Mus musculus: one gene and its partner. The protein of the gene in region 1 purifies or fractionates together with the protein of each later gene. This does not show direct contact. Links are inferred from orthologs where the notes say so. Each region holds a gene or a part of one and is shown in the gene's direction. Other genes may lie near its edges.

Region 1 (10,908 bases):
GAGGAAATCAAAGCTTGTATAGGATGTCTGTTTCAACACCTAAGAGATGTTTGAATATTCTTATAAAGCAAATTCATCAGGCTGTGTGAGGTTCTATTCCTATTGATAAGGACGATGTAGTTCACTTGTAGCAGACACAGATTCGTTGCAGTTACATCATATTTTCATTCACTGTTTTATTATATTCAGTATCTCAATAAGTATTTAATTTTTGTGCTAAGTTTTTTGTTTTGTGCTGTTTTTTTGTTTTGTGCTAAGTTATTAACAGTGATCTAAACAGACACAATTAAGCTTCTTTGTATTTCACAGTCCTCCTGAGGAAGACAGACATCTAACAGATACTTGTAATCATGGTAAACAGTCCAGTGGCTAAGGATAGGGATTTATGAACTCTGTATGTGGATAGGAAATGGTTACATAATTCTTTCTTGAGGATTTTTTGTTTATATATGTAATGACTGTTGTTAATTGTCAACTTGCCTGCATCTGGCATCGCCTAGGAGAAAAGTCTGGGGACTTACCCATGAGGTTAGATTAGCCTTTGAAGATATCTTGATTACATTAATTGATTGGGAAAATTCATTTTAATTGTGGAGGGGATTACTACCTGGGCAGGGAATCCTAGACTGTATAAACTAGAGAAAGTGAGCTGAGATCGCTGTTTATGGATGTGATGTCCCCAGCTTCTTCAAGCTCCTGGTGTCCCCTGTCATGATGGATTTAAAGTATCTTGAACTGTGGTCGATCCCAAATAAACTCTTTTTTAAGTTACTATGTTTTGTCACATCAACAAGAAAAGAAACCCAGACATTGTCTGAAGAGGGATATGTGGAAATGGGTGACTATTGTAATATAGAAAGAAGCATAGTCTATTTAAACTACTAAAAAAGTCATAGTGCTGACACATCGAAGTTTGAGAGTTGATTTCTCAGATAGGAAGTTTGGAATCAGTAAGGTGTTTTAAGCAGAGCCATCATAGGGTCAAGTTTATTTTAAATATCATTGTGGTTACTGGTTGGACTTTGGTAATTTTTTATTTTTCTCTAATCAGATTATAAGAGGCAGGGTAATTATTGTGACTATATGTTCCAAGAGCTTAGTGTTTGGCCTGTGAAATGCATGCTGTCAGTATGTAGTTCTAGATAATGAAATAGTGTGTATATGTAGGCTAGCTAATTCTATGCATGTAATTGACTACTGAAGCTTGGTATTAATGGATGTGCAGAATGGGGTGGGAGAAGAGATTAGAGAAATACTGAAAAGATGTAGGTGCTATACCTAGCAAGGTAGAGTTGTTTGAGTAACAGACAGGGGGATTAATGAAGACTGAGAAAATTATATCTGAGCTGCCTTGTCAGATCTGGCACAAGGGGTAGTAATATAGGCTGCTGTCAGAATGGGACTGAGGCTAGATGCTCATTCTCTAAAGTCTGGCCTAAGAGAATGTGGGAGGCAGATCTAAGAAAGCAAGCCACATTTACTGAGTGCTTGGTATGTACCCAGCACCTTAGGTTCTTGACATGTATTTTCTTTGGTCATTAACAACTTTGGACTATAGACATCATCACTATCATTCATATGTTGTTTTGGTGCTCAAATAACTGAATTTTTTTTTTTTTTTACTTAAGAATTTGAGTTGTGGGAGCTGGAGAGATAGCTCAGCAGTTAAGAGCACTGACTGCTGCTTTTCCAGGGGTCCTGAGTTCAATTCCCAGCAACCACATGGTGGCTCACAACCATCTGTAATGGGATCCAATACCCTCTTCTGGTGTGTCTGAAGGCAGCTACAGTACTCATATACATAAAATAAATAAATAAATCTTTTTTTAAAAAAAAATTTGAGTTGTATAGTTATTATTTGAACTTATGTCATATACAACTAAGGTTCTATAGTTATTAAATAGAATTGTTTAAATCCTTCTTTTATTCTTAAAGACTAATAAAAGTTTTTGAGATTATGTTCAGAAAGTGAATTGTTTCAATTTAAGATTTCAGATGATGAACACTTTGGAATAAGAGTGAGTATATCATATTTATTGGAGACGTTTGCAAAATAACTTGGAGATTAAGGCTAGTGACAGTTTAAACCATTTTCAGCCCTCAACATTCTGTATTCTCACTATAAAGGAAGGTGTGTGTGTGTGTGTGTGTGTGTGTGTGTGTGTGTGTGGTTATTTTGCAGATGAGCGGTTAAAATGAAGCAGGTCAAATTATTCACCTAAGGTCACCTCATTATGGTTGAAAGCTTTGCTTTTTTTGTGATTTTAATATATGAAGGTTGAAACTAAAGAATGTGATTGTATTAAATAGAAGGAAGAATAATACCAAAGGTGGAGTCAATAACTAGATAGTTGAGGCTAGTCAGTTTATTTCTGAACCTCTTATGTCATCCTTGCCCTCCTTATGTTATAGGGGAGTTATGTCATCTGTCATACAATAACCAGTAAGTAGCAGCTGGATATAGATAGGGTTCATAACCTAGGACTTAGTTGTATTTACATATCTTATAATGACTACAAGATAAAAGTGGGATCTCAAATGTTGTGCCATTTTTAGATGCATCAGAGTACACCAGACATCTTGGAACAAAATAATGGCATATTGAACATGCTGATTATTTGGAGTATTTTGGTAAATGCTAGTAATTTACCATTTTATATCAATCTGTTCTTGTTACAGTTGAGGCTGACGTGACAGTGATAGGTTCTGGCCCTGGAGGATATGTTGCTGCCATCAAATCTGCCCAGTTAGGCTTTAAGGTAAGGTAGACCTGAAGTAGAGGCTGCTTTGTTTTATTATGGACCAAGCTGGTTTTAGTCACAAAATACTTTGCAGGTAAACACATGGAAAATAATTTTTAAAATATTTTAAAAAAAAACATCTTTATCTTTGGATGTTTTATATGCACTCATGTGTGTTTGTGCACTGTACGCATGTGGTGCCCACATGAGGCTAGAAGATGGCATCCGATCCTTTGGGACTGGAGTTACAGACAGTTGTGAACTGCTGTGTGGATGCTGGGAATTGAACCCAGGTCCCTTGGAAGAGTGGCTACTTCTCTTAACCAACTGAGCCACCTGTCAAGCTCAGGAAATTATTCTTTTTAACTATTGATTATTTGTAAACCTGATATTGATGGGCTTTATTGAGTGTAGAAGTCTCATGGTATAGAAAAGCCAGCTATTTTTTTTCTGAAATACTTCATTTTGGTTTGTAAATATATTTGAGATAACAGTGTTAACAGTAAAACAATATGGTAATGTTGGACAAAAATCTTTTTAGAATAATTCACTCTAGAATTAGCCTAGTTTCTATTATTCAGATGATAAAATTCAAAGGGTTCTTTTTTTTTTAAGATTTATTTTATTAATATATGTAAGTACACTGTAGCTGTCTTCAGACACTCCAGAAGAGGGAGTCAGATCTTGTTGAGGATGGTGTGAGCCACCATGTGGTTGCTGGGATTTGAACTTTGGACCTTCGGAAGAGCAGTCGGGTGCTCTTACCCACTGAGCCATCTCACCAGCCCAAAGGGTTCTTTAAAAAAAAAACAAAACAAAAACTTTTTATTGATTCCAAATGAATTTTACATCATGTACCCCAATCCCACTCATCTCTCCATTCCCTCCTCTGCCCTTGCAACCCCCTCCCCCAAGAAATTGAAAAAAGAATAAAAAAAGAAAACCATCTTGTGGAAGCTGTAGTGTGCCAGTGTCCCACAGACCACCCTTGTGTCCACACAGCTTTACTTGTGTGCCAGTGTCCCACAGTCCACCCTTGTGTCTGTACATCTTTACTTGTGTGCCAGTGTCCCACAGTTCACCCTTCTGTCCACACAGCTTTACTTGGCAGATGTTCGTTGCAGTGAATCATCGGTCTGCTTCTAGGCCTCTGGCTTCTGCTACACCATCAATACTGACTTTTCACTGAGACTCCTTTCCGATATCCTGTTGTTGCCCTGTATCATGGAGCTCCAGCAGCTTTGGCTCTGCAGGATTGGCCCTCAGAGGGCACTTTGAGTCTGAAGAAACAGATTGAGTAGCTTACTTTACAGACCAATTAAGACATATATTTGGAGTCTTAGTGAAATAAAACATGCATGTTACCTGTTATTAAATAATGTTCTCTTTGATTGTAGACAGTCTGCATTGAGAAAAATGAGACACTAGGTGGAACATGCTTGAACGTTGGTTGTATTCCTTCAAAGGTAAGCATGCGTTTCACACGCTGCAAGATTGCTTTTTATTAGCTGCTGACTGCAGAGATGTACGGAGACCAACTTGTAGTCTAATACAGTTCTTATAAGGAATCTGAAGATGTTTATGCGACTTTTTTTTTGTGTAACTCTTCTATTGCTGACACCCTCTTGAATGTCATATATTCTGGAAGTTCTTCCTGTCCCAGACTTTTTTGTTCTGGTTTTGTTTTTGCTTTCTCTTTAGTTTTCCATTGCTACCGAAAAGATAATAGTAAAATTTTTGTTCTTAAAATTCTTGCCTGTGAAAACAGGTCCCTTTTAACCTGCCACCTTGAAATGTGTTCTTATTGTTTTACTTTTAAAGAATATAGCAGCTTTGTTTTGTTTTTTATTCTTGTTTGTCTATGACGTTTTAGTCAGTATTATTTATCGTAGGTTAATTGTGTGAGAAGGAAAGATGAATTTGTATAGTAGTATGTACTATTTTAAATAGAAATGTAATTTTGTAAGTGCTTTCTTGTGACAGAGCCTGTTTATGCATATTTGGTAAATTTGCCTTACTGTTTTTAGGCTTTATTAAATAATTCTCATTATTACCATATGGCCCACGGAAAAGATTTTGCATCTAGGGGAATTGAAAGTAAGTATACCTTTTATAGTTAGTACCATATGTATTTGACCTTTCTTGGTAAATACTGATGTGTGTGTGAACAGGTATTTATTGAAGGATAACTGAGATAAAAATCTTGAAATTTGGAGAGATTTACATAGAATGTTTACTTCAGACTACCATCACAGCTTCTATGCCTTTGCACATTTTTTCCTAAGTTCTGTTTTTTTTTTTGGGGGTGTGTGTGTGTGTGTGTGTGTGTCAGTGAAGAGTCAGTTTTTTGTTTCCCTCATAACTTGCTAGATTCCGGATTGCTGTGCTATTGCAGGTAAGACTGAAAGGAGAGTGGACAGTGGCCACCTGAGCTGTGAAAAGAGCAGAGAGAGGGAGTGGGAACAGAGAGAGGCCCGAGAGAAGACCATTCATGACATTTGCATGGAGTTTGTTTTGTCTTCAGTCACCATGTCTTTGGGGGGCTGTTTTTATCCTTTTTCTCCAGTCATATTTGACAATACATACATAAGACAGACATAATGCACTTTGTGGCATTCTTTTTACAGAAGTAGGTTTCTGAAAGAGGCTGTGTAGGAGGTCCATTAGATGTGTGTATGTTACAGCAGGTATGTCACACTCTGTGAAAGTACCCTGATGTTAGAAGACATAGGAGTGTCAGGAAACATGCAATATAGGCAAGCTTTTCCTGTTAGCTTGGTGGCCTTTGTCAGTCAGAAATGTCTAAGAGTCTGTCTGTGTGTTGACTTCATGGACTGATTGCTATGTCTTTACCTCTGCAGTTCTGTTGAGTTGAATTACATTGTTGCTTTAATGTTCTGAGTTAAATGAATTTAAAACCTAGTTGATTAAACTCATTATGCTTTTTCATATTTTGGAATATTCAAATATATATTTGTTATTGTTTCATGAAGTTTTAACCTTTGTTTTTATTTATAATTTCAGGTGATGTTCTACTTTGTCATTTTTACTTTATCTATCTTCCAGACTAATAACCATCATAAAGTATTTGTAGAATGTGCCACAGTGAAAATAGGATGTTTCTGTTTTGGACTGCATTTTTGGCACAGATGCACATTTAACAGTGCTTGATAGGGTCTGTTATTTTGACCTGATGATGTGGTTTTGCTAGGTGTGGTCATGACAGTCATTAAGTTTTAGAAGTGAATGCTATCTTTTTCAAAGTCTTATCAACATTAAGATGAATATTTTCAGATCTTGGGAACTATCACATATTGCTTCCATAGTTTAAATAATGAAAAGATTTATTTAACAAATTACAGTACCAGAAGTTCGCTTGAATTTAGAGAAGATGATGGAGCAGAAGCATTCTGCAGTAAAAGCATTAACAGGGGGAATTGCTCACTTATTCAAACAAAATAAGGTTGGTGTCCAGTGCTCAGATCTGTTTTATTTTACATATACATGAAATAATTGCTTTGTGCTAATAGCCATGTTTTATGATCTTGACCTGCTGTGGGATATTGATTTAATTTATAATAGTACTAAAACATTTAAAAATTAATGTAATGCGTTTATTATAATCCAAACCCTATAAAGAATAAAAACCAAAAGAAAATCCAAAATTACACTACCCTTAAACACCTGTCTCTGAGATAGTGTTTTGCTGCTACATGCATTGTATATTTTTAAGGAATTTTATGTTCTGTATTACCTAGAGTATTGTTCCTGTTACTCCTGTTACTCAGGAAAACATTGAAACATTGTGAATTTGTAAACATTACTTTATAAAGGTTGTTCACGTCAATGGATTTGGAAAGATAACCGGCAAGAATCAAGTTACAGCTACAAAAGCCGATGGCAGCACTCAGGTTATTGATACCAAAAACATCCTTGTAGCTACGGGCTCAGAAGTTACTCCTTTTCCTGGAATCACGGTATTTATGCTTCCTGATTCATCTCTTACAACCTAGCAGGTTTTTATAAGTTTATGCTGTTTATAAATGCTGACTGAAACACTAATTTGGCAACCATTTAGCATTGCAGAGTTACTTCTCTGTATTTTGTAGTGATTATGATAAGATATAGAACACTTTATAATATATTTAAGTTTAACATAAAGGTAAACAACGTGGTGGTGAGTGTCTGTGATCCCAGCATGTGGGAGGCAGAGTCAGGAAAGGAAGATTGTTATGGGGTCAGTGGTTAGCAGGGTTAGCAGCCAGGACTACATAGCAAGACTGTCTCTGTCAAGTGATAACATTTCTGAGTAGCATTGTGAATGCTAAAGAAGTTGTGATATATCTATAGATAGCATCAAAGCAAATAAATGATGTAAAATTTTATTGGATGACATCAAGATAATGTCATACTAGGTTTTCACAAGTAATTCTGACTGTTGTTTTTGCTCTTTTTATAGATCGATGAAGATACTATAGTGTCATCTACAGGAGCTTTATCCTTAAAAAAAGTTCCAGAGAAGCTGGTTGTTATTGGGGCAGGAGTAATTGGTGTGGAACTGGTAAGAAGGATTTTCCTTTTCTTTTTTTTAAGGCAATTTTTTATTAGATATTTTCTTTACATTTCAAATGCTATCCCCAAAGCCCCCTATTTCCTCCCCCCACCCTGCTCTCCAACCCACCCACTTCCACTTCCTAGCCCTGGCATTCCCCTGTACTGGGGCATATAATCTTCGCAAGACCAATGGGCCTCTCTTTCCAATGATGGCCGACTAGGCCATCCTCTGCTACATATGCAGCTAGAGACACAGCTCTGGGGGTACTGGTTAGTTCATATTGTTGTTCCACCTATAGGGTTGCAGACCCCTTTAGCTCCTTGGGTACTTTCTCTAGCTCCTTCATTAGGGGCCCTGTATTCCATCCAATAGCTGACTGTGAGCATCTTCTTCTGTGTTTGCCAGGCATTGGCATAGACTCACAAGAGACAGCTATATCAGGGTCCTGTCAGCAAAATCTTGCTGGTATATGCAATAGTGTCTGGGTTTGGTGGTTGTATATGGGATGGATCCCCAGGTGGGGCAGTCTCTGGATGGTTGTTCCTTCTGTCTCAGCTCCGAACTTTGACTCTATAACTCCTTCCATGGCTATTTTGTTCCTCATTCTAAGAAGGAGCGAAGTATCCACACGTTGGTCTTCCTTCTTCTTGATTTTCTTGTGTTTTACACATTGTATCTTGGGTATTCTACGTTTCTGGGCTAATATCCCCTTATCAGTGAGTGCATATCATGTGTGTTCTTTTGTGATTGGGTTACCTCACTCAGGATGATATCCTCCAGATCCATCCATTTGCCCAAGAATTTCATGAACTCATTGTCTTTAACTGCTGAGTAGTACTCCATTGTGTAGATGTACCACATTTTCTGTATCCATTCCTCTGTTGAGGGGCATCTGGGTTCTTTCCAGCTTCTGGCTATTATAAATAAGGCTGCTATGAACATAGTGGAGCATGTGTCTTTATTACAAGTTGGAACATCTTCTGGGTATATGCCCAGAAGAGGTATTGCTGGATCATCCGGCAGTACTATGTCCAATTTTCTGAGGAACCGCCAGACTGATTTCCAGAGTGGTTGTACAAGCTTGCACTCCCACCAACAATGGAGGAGTGTTCCTCTTTCTTCACATCCTTGCCAGCATCTGCTGTCACCTGAATTTTTGATCTTAGCCATTCTGACTGGTGTGAGGTAGAATCTCAGGGTTGTTTTGATTTGCATTTCCCTGATGATTAAGGATGTTGAACATTTTTTCAGCTGCTTCTCCGCCATTTAGTATTCCTCCGGTGAGAATTCTTTGTTTAGGTCTGTACCCCATTTTTTTTGTTTTTTTGTTTTTTTTGGTTTTTTTTTTTTGAGACAGGGTTTCTCTGTATAGCTCTGGCTGTCCTGGAACTCACTTTGTAGATCAGGCTGGCCTCGAACTCAGAAATCTGCCTGCCTCTGCCCCCCGAGTGCTGGGATTAAAGACGTGCGCCACCACGCCCGGCGATGTACCCCATTTTTTAATAGGGTTATTTGATTTTCTGGATTCCATCTTCTTGAGTTCTTTTTATATATATTTATAAATATTGGATATTAGTTCCATATCTGACTTAGGATTGGTAAAGATCCTTTCCTAATCTGTTGGTGGCCTTTTTGTCTTATTGACGGTGTCTTTTGCCTTACAGAAGCTTTGCAATTTTATGAGGTCCCATTTGTCAATTCTCCAGACCCCTGGATTTTCCTTTTCTTGCTGCTCTGTGATTGAAAGGGACTTACAACTTCTTCTTGGAGGCTAGAGGGATAGCTTAATGGTTAGCAGCACATACTATTTTATCAGGGACTCAAAAGGACAAGATTGGGAAGGTTTCAGGTAGCCATCTCAAAAGGGAGAGATAGCTCAGTGCTTAAGAGCACAAGAGTACCTCTTGCAGAAGAGCTAGGTTCAGTTCCCAGCACCCATATGGTGACTTTCAACTATCTATTGCTCCAGTTCTAGAGAGTCTGTGCCCTCTTCTTGCTTCTGAGGACACCGGGCATGTACGTGGTGCCCAGACATCCATTCAGGCAAACACCCATTTATGTAAAATAAAATGAGTCTTAAAACAAAACAGAAAACCTACTTCTATTTGTTTTGTTGCTGTTGTTGTTGTTGTTTTGGTATAACATATCAGGTCAGTCGTTGAGTTTTGCTTAAAACTGCCAGTAATAACAGATAACACCTTTTCTTCTAACATAACTTATTTAGGTAAATCATTAGTCTTTAGTATGCCCTTTGTTTTATAGTCTGCATCTTTGTTTTCTCATCATTTCTGAGCATTGAAACTGGTCTCTCTTTTTTATCGATAACCCTTGACATACTGAAAAATAGTCTTCCTCTGCGATCCCCTGGGTGATACCTGTGCCTGCAGGAAAGTAGACCCTTCGGATTGGTGTCAGCCTGGCTGAAGAGCCTTTGTTTCCCTAGCTGAGTACTAGCCTCTGCCATGGCCACTTACTTCCTCGCTTGTGCTCTACCTTACTGGCACGCTGTCTCTCCTACCCTTACATGACTTCCTGAGTAACGGGCAGGAAAAAGCGTGGGCTGGACAGGACTCCTCACCTCATGCTCATGCTCCAGACTTGAAAGCACTTTGTCTCACAGTTCTCCTGTTGTTGTTCTTCCTGCTACTGGGAGTAACGTCTTCCCTAAGAGTGACGGCTTCACCTCTTCTTTGTACTTCATAACGTGTTTTTCTGCCTTCTCAGTGACTCAGTTCTGTGGTGTTTGTTTTTTTTTTTTTTAAAGATTTATTTATTTATTATATGTAAGTACACTGTAGCTGTCCTCAGATACTCCAGAAGAGAGCATCAGATTTCGTTACAGATGGTTGTGAGCCACCATGTGGTTGCTGGGATTTGAACTCGGGACCTTTGGAAGAGCAGTCGGCACTCTTAACCACTGAGCCATCTCGCCAGCCCCGTTTGTTTCTTTTCTTTCTTTAAACTTGGTCTGCTTTCTACCTGCTATTCTCTCACTCCCCCCTTTTTTTTTTTTTTTTTTTTTTTTGAGAGAAGGTCTCATATAGCCCTGACTGGCCTAGAACTTGCTATGTAGATTAGTCTGGCCTTAAACAGACTTCCTGCCTCTGCCACCTGAGTTTCTGTTTATTTTCCTTTTGATTTATAGTTGAACATGCCTCTGTTTATACCTGGGTCACATTCTCAGGTGCATTTTCTTGCAGACACATGCTTCTATTTATGTCAGAAAGCCTTCTTGTGAGCACACGCACACACACGCACGCGCATGTGCACACGCACACCCACATATACAGACACACACACACACATGCACGTACGTCTCTACACACATACATGTCTCTACACACACACCCAGTTACCTTCTTGTGAGCACACACGCACACCCCACGCGCACACGCACACACACACACGCACACACACACACACACACACACACCGTCACCTTCTTTTCTTTCCCGTCTCATGCAGGATTTACATCTACCATCTGCTTTATCTTTTTTTTAATGGCTTATTCAGATTTCTTTTTTTTAATTGAGACTTTCTTACACACTTATATTTTCATAACATCCACCCTCCATTCTCTCCACTCCAGATTTTCCTCTGTCCCTCCCACCA
Region 2 (10,908 bases), about 54 Mb from region 1:
TTTGTTGCTGTTTTTGTTTTTTAATTATTTTGGGGGGCGGGGTTAGTGGTTGCCTAATACTTTGCTTTTTGCTTCTGAGTTTACTCTCATTTTGCTGCCTTATGGAAATCTAATCCTGAGGGTAGTAACACATTTGTGTTTGGCATATCTGCGTGCTGCAGAGGATTTGGTTAAAGAAACCTAATTGGGAGGAAACATCATTTTGGTTAGTTTGCAAAGGACTAAGATTCTTTTTACTTCCTAGAACCAGTGTGTCTCACTCTTTTGAGAGGTGACATTTCATTTTAGTATGGAGCACTGTTTAAGGCACTTAGATCATCAGGCTTTGGGGTGCTACTTGCTGAGTCAGAATCTGTCCAGGTCTGGCCTGACATGTGTGCTTTGACAAGGTCCCCTGCAGGAGAATCTGCTTAAGATCCACCAGTTTAAGTAGGTAACCCTTGGTACCTGGACTGGACTGAGATATTAGTGGCTCACATTCTAAAAAGAATTAACATTTGTGTTTCTTTTGTAGCATTAACAGTGGTAGCGTCTTCAGGGTTCGCTTCTTCCAAACCACGGCTGTGTGCAGTTAAGTACCTGATTTCTTGTGAATGGACTTTTACTGGGAAGAGAAACAACTGAGTGAGATTATTAAAGACAGAATGAGCACTTGTGGTTTTCCTGTTTTGTTTTTCCCTAGAGAATGATGTGATAACAGTCCAAACCCCAGCGTTTGCAGAGTCTGTCACAGAGGGAGATGTCAGGTGGGAGAAAGGTGAGCTTTAAGTTAAAAACTAAGGTCTCTTCATGAAGCACAGCAAGTGGGAACTGGCTCCACCTTTTCCTCACATACGCATCTACTTCCTGCCCAGTCTTGTAGGAAAGTGGTCTTTTCACACAGTGGGTTAACAGGGGCCCTGAGGCTCCCAGCCAACAGGTGTCCTTTGTCTTTCAGCTGTTGGAGATGCGGTTGCAGAAGATGAAGTGGTGTGTGAGATTGAGACAGACAAGGTGGGTTCATCCTAAGGATTTATTACAGATTACTTTTGATTATTCAGTCGTATGTAGTATGTACACTAGTAACTTGAATCAGTAGCTACTTTGTTTGCTTTGTGGTTCCTGGGCTGCTTTCAGTCTTCTTCCTTGTATCACTTGGAAACATAGTAACTAAAGCATGTTTTAATGTTTCTAAGAAAAGACAGAAGGTGAATCCTCAAGATAGCAATCACTTGTCTTTTTCTGACTGAAAACATGGCCTTAGGTATTTCTGTGTGCAGAGGAGATGTAATATCCAGGTGTAACAGTGTTGTAACTCTTTCTACTCATCCTGCTTGACTAATGCAATACTATACAAATGCCGATAGGATACAAATGCCGGACTCTGTCTCCATTTCTTTCCTTTCCAGACTTCTGTGCAGGTTCCGTCGCCAGCAAATGGCATCATTGAAGCTCTTTTGGTACCCGATGGGGGCAAAGTTGAAGGAGGAACTCCTCTGTTCACACTCAGGAAAACTGGTGGTAAAGAAGTTCTTTTTCCTGGTGGTTAAGGTCTCCAGTGTTTCCTGGTGGGATTGAGGCTGAGCATACTGTCCTAGCAACTCCCCTGCCTCTGACTGGCATTCTAGTTACACCTTTAGTTGAAGGGTAGAAGAAATCCTGTTGATGGATGGTGAACTTTCATTGTCAAGTTCTAAGCCAACAGGGTAATTTTAAAAACCCACAATACTCTGTTCTTTCCATATTTCTCAGATTGGATCTTTTTCTTAAAGAACTAACAGGGGGTTGGGGATTTAGCTCAGTGGTAGAAAGCTTGCCTAGCAAGCACAAGGCCCTGGGTTTGGTCCTCGGCTCCAAGGGGGTAGGGGTGGAGGTGACAGGGATGGGGGGACGGGGATGGACGGACAGACGGTCAGACTAGCAGAAGTCAGGTATCTGAAGAGAGTAGTTTCCCTGCACTGACCTGGATCACATGGAGCTTTAAAAAAGATACAAATGAAAAGGCTTCCAGCTCCTGAGATTTCTGATTTACCACCTTGCTATAATAGTTGGATTGTTGTTAGTTTTGTAGCATTCTCCTAAGTGATTCTGACATATAGTCAGGCCTGAGAGCCACTGTGTTGACAATTGAGTGTAGTTTCCTTTTTTCTTTACAATTACATTTGTGTGTGTGTGTGTGTGTGTGTGTGTGTGTGTGTGTATCTGTGTGGGGAGTGTACACACAAAGGCACGAGTGTGGAGGTCGGTGGGTAACTTGAGAGTCAGTTTTCCCTTCCTGTCACATGGGCCCTAGCGCTCGAACTCAGGTTGTCAGACTTGGTCCTGTGTGTCTCCACCACTGAATCACCTCCTTTCCGTGTAGTTTCTTCTCACATTTTTCTCAGGAAAAATTGGCATTTCTCTTTGGAAGAAATGCCAAAGAAAGATGCCTGTACTGGACCTTATAGTCAATATTGGGGTTAGAAAATCTGTTTTTCTGACTTGTAAGTAAAGATTTTTGTAGTTAGAGTATTTAACTGTTAAGATAGTCAAGCAGAAAGATGGTAGATTAGACCATTAAAGTTGGTCAGGGCAAGATCAAGTTCAAAGTAAAGGGAAAAAAATCTGAAGTAGCTAGGATGAATACACCTGTCAGTATTCATGCTGGGACCCCTGAGACATCTTTCCAGGCGCCAAAATAACATTTTAATCAAATGCTCATTTAAGATTAAAGAGTTCAGAGGCTGGAGAGATGGCTCAGTGGTTCAGAGTAGATACTGTTCTTTCAGAGGACCCAAGTTCACTTCCCAGTGCCTACATGGCAGCTCACAGTTGTCTAAGACTCCCGCTCCACGGGTTCCAATGAGCCTTTATAGGCATCTCCATTCACGTGCACATATACACAGTTAATAATGATAAAATAATTCTTTAATTTGATTTATTTATTTAAAATAAATGTTCTTTTTTTTTAACATTCTTTTAAGAATTATTTTATGTATATGAGTCCACTGTCACTGTCTTCAGACACACCAAAAGCGGGCATTGGATCCTATTACAGATGGCTGTGAACCACTGTTATAGTTGCTGGAATTTGAACTCAGGACCTCTAGAAGAACAGTCAGTGCTCTTAACCACTGAGCTATATCCCCCACCCCCATTCCTTTTTAAAAAATTTTTAATGGTTAAGAGTATTCCTTTTGCCTGGTGGTGGCAGTGCACACCTTTGTGGATCTTTGTGAGTTTGAGGCCAGCCTGGTCTACAGAGAGTTCCAGGGGAGGGTTACACAGAGAAACGTCTTGAAAAACAAGAGAGCCGGGCATGGTGGCGCACGCCTTTAATCCCAGCACTCGGGAGGCAGAGGCAGGCGAATTTCTGAGTTCGAGGCCAGCCTGGTCTACAGAGTGAGTTCCAGGACAGCCAGGGCTACACAGAGAAACCCTTTGTTAGCTGTCTTGAAAAACAAAAACAAAAAAACCAACCAAACAAACAAAAAAACCCAAAAAACCCAAAAACAAAAGAGAAAGAGTATTTCTTGTACATGTTAACTCTAAAATAGAAGATTGTTAGCAGCGTGTCACATTTATGTGTGCATTTAAACATTTTCATTTGCTTTGTTGTTTTTGCTTAAAACAGTGGTTCTGCTGGTCACCAACCCCTTTGGAGGTTGAGTGACTCTTTCACAAGGGTCACCCAAAAACCTACGCATATCAGATATTTGTATTATGATTCATGATAGTATGAAAATTACAGTTATGAAGTAGCAATGAAGTGGCTGTGGGGGGAGGGTTTACTACCACATAAGGAACTGTATTAAAGGGTCACAGCATTAGAAAGGCTGAGAATCATTGGCTTAAGTTTTATTTCCTTGGGCTTAGTATGTGCTTTGAAAGTATTTGCTGAATTTGAAAGTCTGTAGATGTTAGTTAATATTTGTGAAATCAGGAAGGCATCTGAATCGAGCCAGCAGGACGTTTAGGGAGACCTGAGACTAGAGAGTAGTGGCTCGTGTCACTGTGTATCACTTGATGCTTTGCCTATAGCAAGGACCTAGGAGACATTTGTTTGAGGCTGGAAATAGACCTTTCTCTCTGAATCCTCTTTAGTAGCTGTGGTTAATTGCCTTCCATGGAGTGGTGCCAATGGCATTCTCTCTCTCTCTCTCTCTCTCTCTCTCTCTGTGCAGCTGCTCCTGCTAAGGCCAAACCAGCTGAAACTCCTGCTCCAGCCCACAAAGCAGAGCCCGCAGCACCGGCGGCCCCTCCTCCCCCCGCAGCACCTGTGCTCACTCAGATGCCACCAGTGCCCTCACCCTCACAGCCTCCTTCTAGCAAACCAGGTAAGACCCTGTAACAGAATACTTCACGGAGAGCTACTTAGATTTATTTTAGCTTGTTTTGAGGATGAAGAGTCCTTTATGTCAGGGAAGGTGTGGTTTCAGTGCACGGCAGATGGTCACGTGGCCATTGCAGCCAAGAAAGTTTGTCTGCTGCTCCATTCACTTTGTTAGCTAAACGCTACTCACTTCCAGACCCCAGCCCACATTACAGTGCTGCCTGTATTCACAGTAAGTCTCTCCACTCTGAGAGCAAGAATTCAGTTTCTCTGGAAAAACTGTTATAGACATGGCCAGGCTTTTATCTTCCCAGTGGTTCTAAGTCCTGTCAAATTGACAGTCAAGATTAATCCTTACAGTCTCTGACTCCCAGGGAGAAGGGACTTCGTGTCCCTCACAGTTACAGTCTGATGCCATGGCTCTGAATACACCAAGTTTGCTGAAGAACTGGGTTTGCAAACCAGCCTTCTATTTATTTGCTAACCATATGACACTAGTTTAATTACTTCTATGACTAGATTGTTCATCTGCGAGTTTGGAATGATGCTGATAAACTTTAGTATCTTGAGGGTAAAGGGTTAATACGGTGCAGAAAGTATTGCTGTCCGTGTCCGATGTAGCTGTGCACTCTCTTCATTTTCAGTGTCTGCAATAAAACCCACTGCTGCCCCTCCACTGGCTGAGGCAGGAGCTGCTAAAGGTCTGCGTTCAGAACATCGGGTAAGCCTCCGACAACTTCCAGGGAAGTGGCAGAGAGTCGCTGTGGAGAGTAATGGAGTGTGGTCACCGTTAGAAAGGGCTGGCACCTCTTTGCCTTGGCCTTGAGAAGGGGGAGAAAGTTACTTGTTCATGGTCTCGTGACTGTCAGAGGGAATAACTAGAACTCAGTGTCTCCCGAATGTTGGGGTTTCTACTGTATTGTGCTGTTGGTGAAATGCTTCCACTGAGTAAAATGTCTGCAGAGAATAGACGCACAGCCCCTCTCCCCACAGTGACACGCATGTCACAGCGGTAGTCACAGCAGTAGTCTGCTGAGCGCTCTCTCTCTCTATACTTCCGGGATATTTCGCCGCAGCTGGGGAGCCAGTGGGGCCAGATTGTTGCACTGTAGCAGTACTCTGTCAGAGGAGACAGAACCCTCAAGGAAGTATGGTCAAGAGTGTGGGTTCTTTGCCTGAGAATGCTTCCTAAAAATACCATAGCTTCAAAAGCTTGCTTTAGAGTTTCCGTTCCCCAAGTAGTTATTCTCACGCCAGTCTTTATCAAGAGAAGTCGCCCTTTCTGAAATGACTCTTAAGCTGGCTGGATCTACACCACAGTCTTCCTTTTGTAAATTGGTTTTGGTTTTTAAATCACACTATTTCCTGAGCTTCTGTTCTTGGTCAAATTTCAGGTATAGCTGAGTGAAAACCTTGGTCTCTGAGTCTGTGTTTTTGCTGGGGCTACTCCAGAAAGGGAAAGCCTCTAGCTTTAACTGTAGTGATTGAGCCCAGCACTGTGGCACATGCCATGAATCCCAGTACTTTAGGAGGTAGAGGCGGGAGGGTCTCTGGTGCTTGTCATCCATCGCTGACAGGCTGAGTCCTCTCACTGACTAGGGATGGTCTCATGGTCAACTCGTTCCACTTCCCTTTCAGGAGAAAATGAACAGGATGCGGCAGCGCATCGCCCAGCGTCTGAAGGAAGCCCAGAACACGTGTGCAATGCTGACGACTTTCAATGAGGTTGACATGAGGTGGGATCTCTAGTCCCTCTAGTCCCCACATCTGTGTTTCTAGAAGTAGAACGCGGGAACTTGCTGTAGCCCTTATCAGTGCTGCTTCCAAAACTAGCTTGACCTGGGAGAGGTATTTATTTCTCTGCTTAGCTCCTTGCTGACTTATACAGCATGACCCACTGGCTTAATTTGCTAGTTTACTTCTCTAATACTATGGAATGAATTAGAAAGCGTGTAAGAAAATAGTGAGCTTTACTGCAATGTAAAAAGCTTAGTTTTTTGGACTTTCATGCCTGAACTATTATGGTCTCTGATAAATTATCCTAGGGTAATCATTTTTGTTTAGGCTTTTATATTTACTTTTACTTATGTATATGTGTGAATTTGGAGCAGGGGTGCCAACAGAGGGCAGAAGAGGGATCCCTTAGAACTGGAGTTACAGGTCTTGGGGGCTCACTGACATGAGTACAAGCCCACATTTGGGTTCTCATAACTGCTCCAGTCCCTGTTTGGTTTTTGAGACAGGGTCTCAAATATATAGTCCTAGCTGGCCTAGAACTCACTATGTAGACCAGACTGGCCTTGAACTCACAGAGATTTGCCTGCTTGTGCCTCCCAAGTACTAGGGTTAAAAGTGTGTGCCATTATGCCCAAGCTGGTTGGTTGGTTGGTGGGTGGGTTTTGAGACAGTGTCTCATGTTGCCTGAGCTGGGCTTGAACTCTCTGTAGCTGAGGATGATGGTGATGGTGCTGCCATGTCCTGCTGCTAGTAATGGCCCACTTCTTGCTACCCCTTGGAATGGGAACCCTTCACAATGTGCCTAAAAGGACACCACACTCTCCTTCTTTCTGACAGTGATTGTTTCTTGTATAGTTCCCAAGCAACTCAGAATCTAGCAGGCAAAAGGACAGAAACCTGCCACCTCTTACTCTACCCTGTTTGGATTATGGAATTGGAACTAAATTAAGTTCCTCTGTGTGTGTGTGTGTGTGTCTGTCTGTGTCTGTGCAAGCAAGCACATACATATGTACGTGTGGGAGTGTGTAGGTGTGCATACATGCATATAAAAGCCAAAGATCAATTTCAGTTGTTGTTCCTGGGAGTCATCCACCTTGTTTATTAAGGCAGGTTTCTACTGGCCTCGAGTTTGTTAATAGGCCAAGCTGACTAGCCAGTGAGCCCCAGGGATCTGCGCGTCTCCTACGTCTATAACTCTGAGATTTCATGTGTGCCACCAAACCCAGGATGGTTTGTTTGCTTGGTTGGTTTTATATGGATTTTGGAGTTCAAACTCAGGTCTTCATGCTTACCTGGGAACGAGGATGTCTTCCCTAGCCCTAACAGTTAAACTCTAAAATGTAAAAACCCCCAGTTCACTATACCCATTCCTGTAATGGCCTAATGGTTGATTTCCTTGTTTTTTTCAAGATTTTGATATATCTAAGTATCAGCATTTTGGGAAAGAGAAAATAGTTTTATTTAACAAGTATTTTAAGTGTTTATCATATGCAGATTACTAAAGTGAAATTTAAGGAGTTATGGAGATGAGTGTAAAAGCTCTTTGGATCTTGCCGGGCGTGGTGGCGCATGCCTTTAATCCCAGCACTCGGGAGGCAGAGGCAGGCGGATTTCTGAGTTTGAGGCCAGCCTGGTCTACAAAGTGAGTTCCAGGACAGCCAGGGCTACACAGAGAAACCCTGTCTCGAAAAAAACAAACAAGCAAAAAAGCTCTTTGGATCTTGCTATCTCATTTTGGTGAACACTAAATAAAATCTAGAAGAAAAAAAAGCATCAAAAAGATAAAAATGAGTATGAAGTGGAGAAGGGAGTGTTGTTTGCTTTCGGAGTTTGAATGACAAGCATGTAAGCCAGGGAGAGTGTGTCATCTGTCATCCTGGTACTTGAGAGGTGGAGGCAACAGGACCAACAATTCAGGGTTCACCTTAGCTGCATAAAGTTCAGAATGAGAGCCTGTCTCAATTTAAAACAAAACAACATGAAAATGCTAAGTAGTGTTACATAGAAACTCATTCCAAATGGTTTTAGCAGTTTGGATCATGGCACTGTCAAGAAAATGCAAGAAACAGAAAAGATCTGGGTTGGTTTTGTTTTTGTTTTTGTTTTTGTTTTTTTTTGCCAACAGTTCACATAGGATATGAATGGTGAAGGTTGGATCTGTATTTGAATATCAGTGTAAGAATGAATTAAGTCAAAGATGACGTCTCTAAGGTACCCATCTCCCTTTGCTTTGAGTATTAAGTCTTTCCCTCTGCTTCTCAGTGAGGAAGTTTGTTTATTGGAAATGTATGTAGGGATCTGGTTAATTTTATTGGGAAGCCCATAATGTAGGGAAGGACTTTTCCTAGTGAATCACAAAGACTGCAGCCGTGTTTCCTGCATTAGCGGCAAAGTGTACACAAATTAAATTGGACTTTGAAATTTTACCCATTTCTTAAGACGAAGCATGTAAATATTTATATCTCTAAAAGATGCAGTTGGCCCAACATCCTTGATTGCAAATCTGTGTAATAGCTGGATCTTCTTTCAGTAGCCAATCTAGTGTCACTTAGCAGTGGCCTGAGACTTCCCGGGAGCCGGTAATGTGGTTTAGATCGAGTGCCCTTTGGGTCTTATGCCTATCAGCGAACCCAGAGGAGTCTTTCTGAGACTTGCCCCTTCCTCCACTGGCTCAGCGTTGCCTCCAAGGGCTAAGCTCTGAAATAGAAACTCCTTAATGACCAGAAAATGGCATCTAGGCAGGTCTGAGAACAGAGACACCCACCACGCCTCTTTCTGCAGTAATGCCTTTAGGGTGGTAATTCTAGCACTAAATGAGGTTAGACTCAGGAAAATAAACATTTTAAACCCAATCAATCCCCTCAGGAAAATTTCCTTTTTTCAAAAACAAAAGGTCTGAAGTGGGCAGTTAAAGGGTACCACATCTTATCTTTCCTGCTAATGTTGAATTAAGCCATTATAGGGGGAAAGGGAGACGTGAGCATTTGGGCCTGAGATAAAGTTCAACTCAATTTTCATCATGGAATGGTATTCCTATAATCATAGACCTTCCTGTGGGAAAACAATGGGAGAGACGTTTCTCACTAACTCTGCAATGCATATGTGTATGTGGGGGTGGGGTGGGGTGGGGTGGGGGCTAGCTTGATAGACCAGAGGATGTTCAAGTTGCAGAGTCTTCTCAGAGGCAAGCCCAGCGCTGAATCTGAAAGACAGGCCACAGCCCACACGGAGCCGCTTTCTAAATACCAAGGAAACCACAGTCGGTGAAACTAATCTTAAGGGCAGACACTGTTGTGTTGTTGTATCTTGGTGCCCAGCCCAGTCCCCCTCCCCCACACATAATGGGCATTAGTAACTGTTTCATGAGCAAGTAGAAAGAACTGCTAACTCAGAGGAAAGAGTGAGTCTGCTGACTTTGCATAAGCCGGGAAGAATATTGGACTTAGCTCCTGCGTATAATTAGTACCGTTTGGAATGGTAGTATTCATTGTGATCTTTAGATTATCTGTCACTGAAATCTGTGACTCATAGAACTAAAAGGATCTCCTTAAAAGGGCTCAACCATCTTAAGGGACAGGATGGCGCTGATTCTTCTAGGCTGGTATTTTGTGATAGAGTACTTTATTACATTGACTACTAGAGAATGTTTCAAAGCTTGAACTTAGATGCTTCAGGCCAAGGGAAAGCCCATCCATTTGTATACATGGGTGAAAACTTGTGAAAGTCCAAACTAGGGCTTTAGCTGTTCTGGTGGGTAGTACAGGCCTGCCATCCCAGCTCGTTGGGAGATTGAAGCAGAGGAAGTGCAAGTTTAAGGCTAGATCATGCAATTTCAGTACACCTAGTCTCTAGACTTTAAAAGGGTGGGATGCATCAGTAGCCCCCAGCCCCTTAGCACTGGCTCAGCTTTAACTGTATCCTCAGCCAATCAGATGTTGAAGACCATGGGGGTCCTCTTGTTTAATTTGTCCTTGTGTATCTATTAAACCTTGATCAGGGTTTCTAGAATGGCTGCAGTAGATTTTGAAAACAGACTTACCGTTATTGATTTGGGGTTCCCCAGAGATCCAGTTCACAGTTGTTGGACTCTAATACAACTGACCATTGAAAAGCGAACAACGGCTTATTGTTTTGTAACCGTGTCAGGTGAGCCCTGACATTTCAATTGAAACATGAATTGTCATTATAACTCAATGCAAATTCAACAGTTGTTGAATTATTTTAACAAATAACAGTTGGAGTTAAATTATTTTAACAAAAAATTTATTTAATGAAAAAAAAAAGGGTAGGATGCAGGGGTGGGTTGGGGAGCACGGCTCAGGAGTAAAGCCGTTGCCAGCGTTTCTCAGAGGTCCTCGACACTTAGCCTGTGGCAGTATGTGCATGTATATACACACCAGAGCTTCACCAACAGTTTCTTTGCATCATGTATTTACAGTAACATACAAGAGATGAGAGCTCGGCACAAGGATGCTTTCCTGAAAAAACATAACCTCAAATTAGGCTTCATGTCAGCATTTGTGAAGGCCTCGGCGTTCGCCTTGCAGGAGCAGCCTGTTGTAAATGCAGGTAAGTTTCCTGAGGCCAGTGTGGAAAAGACTACAGACCTGCTGCCACATTTAGGGGTCACCAAAGCTTTTTATTCACAGTCTATGGAAACATGATCACCTTCACCAAATACTAAAAGTAATGGTAACATGATTACTTTCTCTGTACCAAGTATGCAGAATTGGCACTTACTCTGGCAGTAGGCAGCTCTGGGATAGCTTGGCTTCCCAAGCTGTCTTGTCATGGGCGATCTCAAGCTCTGGCTGCTCCTCACCCCCACGCACCCTTTACTTGGAGGCTTGACTTTCATGTTTGGCATAGGCTCCAGGTTG

Evidence for each region. Proteins that work in one complex are often made in the same cells at the same time.
Region 2: the proteins of Dld (region 1) and Dlst purify together in Homo sapiens (affinity purification with mass spectrometry; 3 studies listed by BioGRID and IntAct, counting the BioPlex papers as one, with this or other methods). This does not show direct contact. The link is inferred for Mus musculus from reciprocal best matches to the Homo sapiens genes DLD and DLST.

What each region holds. Positions count from the first base shown.
Region 1 is NC_000078.6:31,336,674-31,347,581, reverse strand, and holds part of Dld (dihydrolipoyl dehydrogenase, mitochondrial precursor), read left to right. Parts: intron 1-2,679; coding exon 2,680-2,759; intron 2,760-4,138; coding exon 4,139-4,207; intron 4,208-4,768; coding exon 4,769-4,838; intron 4,839-6,103; coding exon 6,104-6,204; intron 6,205-6,574; coding exon 6,575-6,718; intron 6,719-7,200; coding exon 7,201-7,302; intron 7,303-10,908. UniProt on the Homo sapiens protein: Lipoamide dehydrogenase is a component of the glycine cleavage system as well as an E3 component of three alpha-ketoacid dehydrogenase complexes (pyruvate-, alpha-ketoglutarate-, and branched-chain amino acid-dehydrogenase complex).
Region 2 is NC_000078.6:85,117,845-85,128,752, forward strand, and holds part of Dlst (dihydrolipoyllysine-residue succinyltransferase component of 2-oxoglutarate dehydrogenase complex, mitochondrial), read left to right. Parts: intron 1-514; coding exon 515-570; intron 571-682; coding exon 683-757; intron 758-937; coding exon 938-993; intron 994-1,388; coding exon 1,389-1,500; intron 1,501-4,142; coding exon 4,143-4,295; intron 4,296-4,935; coding exon 4,936-5,012; intron 5,013-5,929; coding exon 5,930-6,027; intron 6,028-10,466; coding exon 10,467-10,597; intron 10,598-10,908. UniProt on the Homo sapiens protein: Dihydrolipoamide succinyltransferase (E2) component of the 2-oxoglutarate dehydrogenase complex. The 2-oxoglutarate dehydrogenase complex catalyzes the overall conversion of 2-oxoglutarate to succinyl-CoA and CO(2).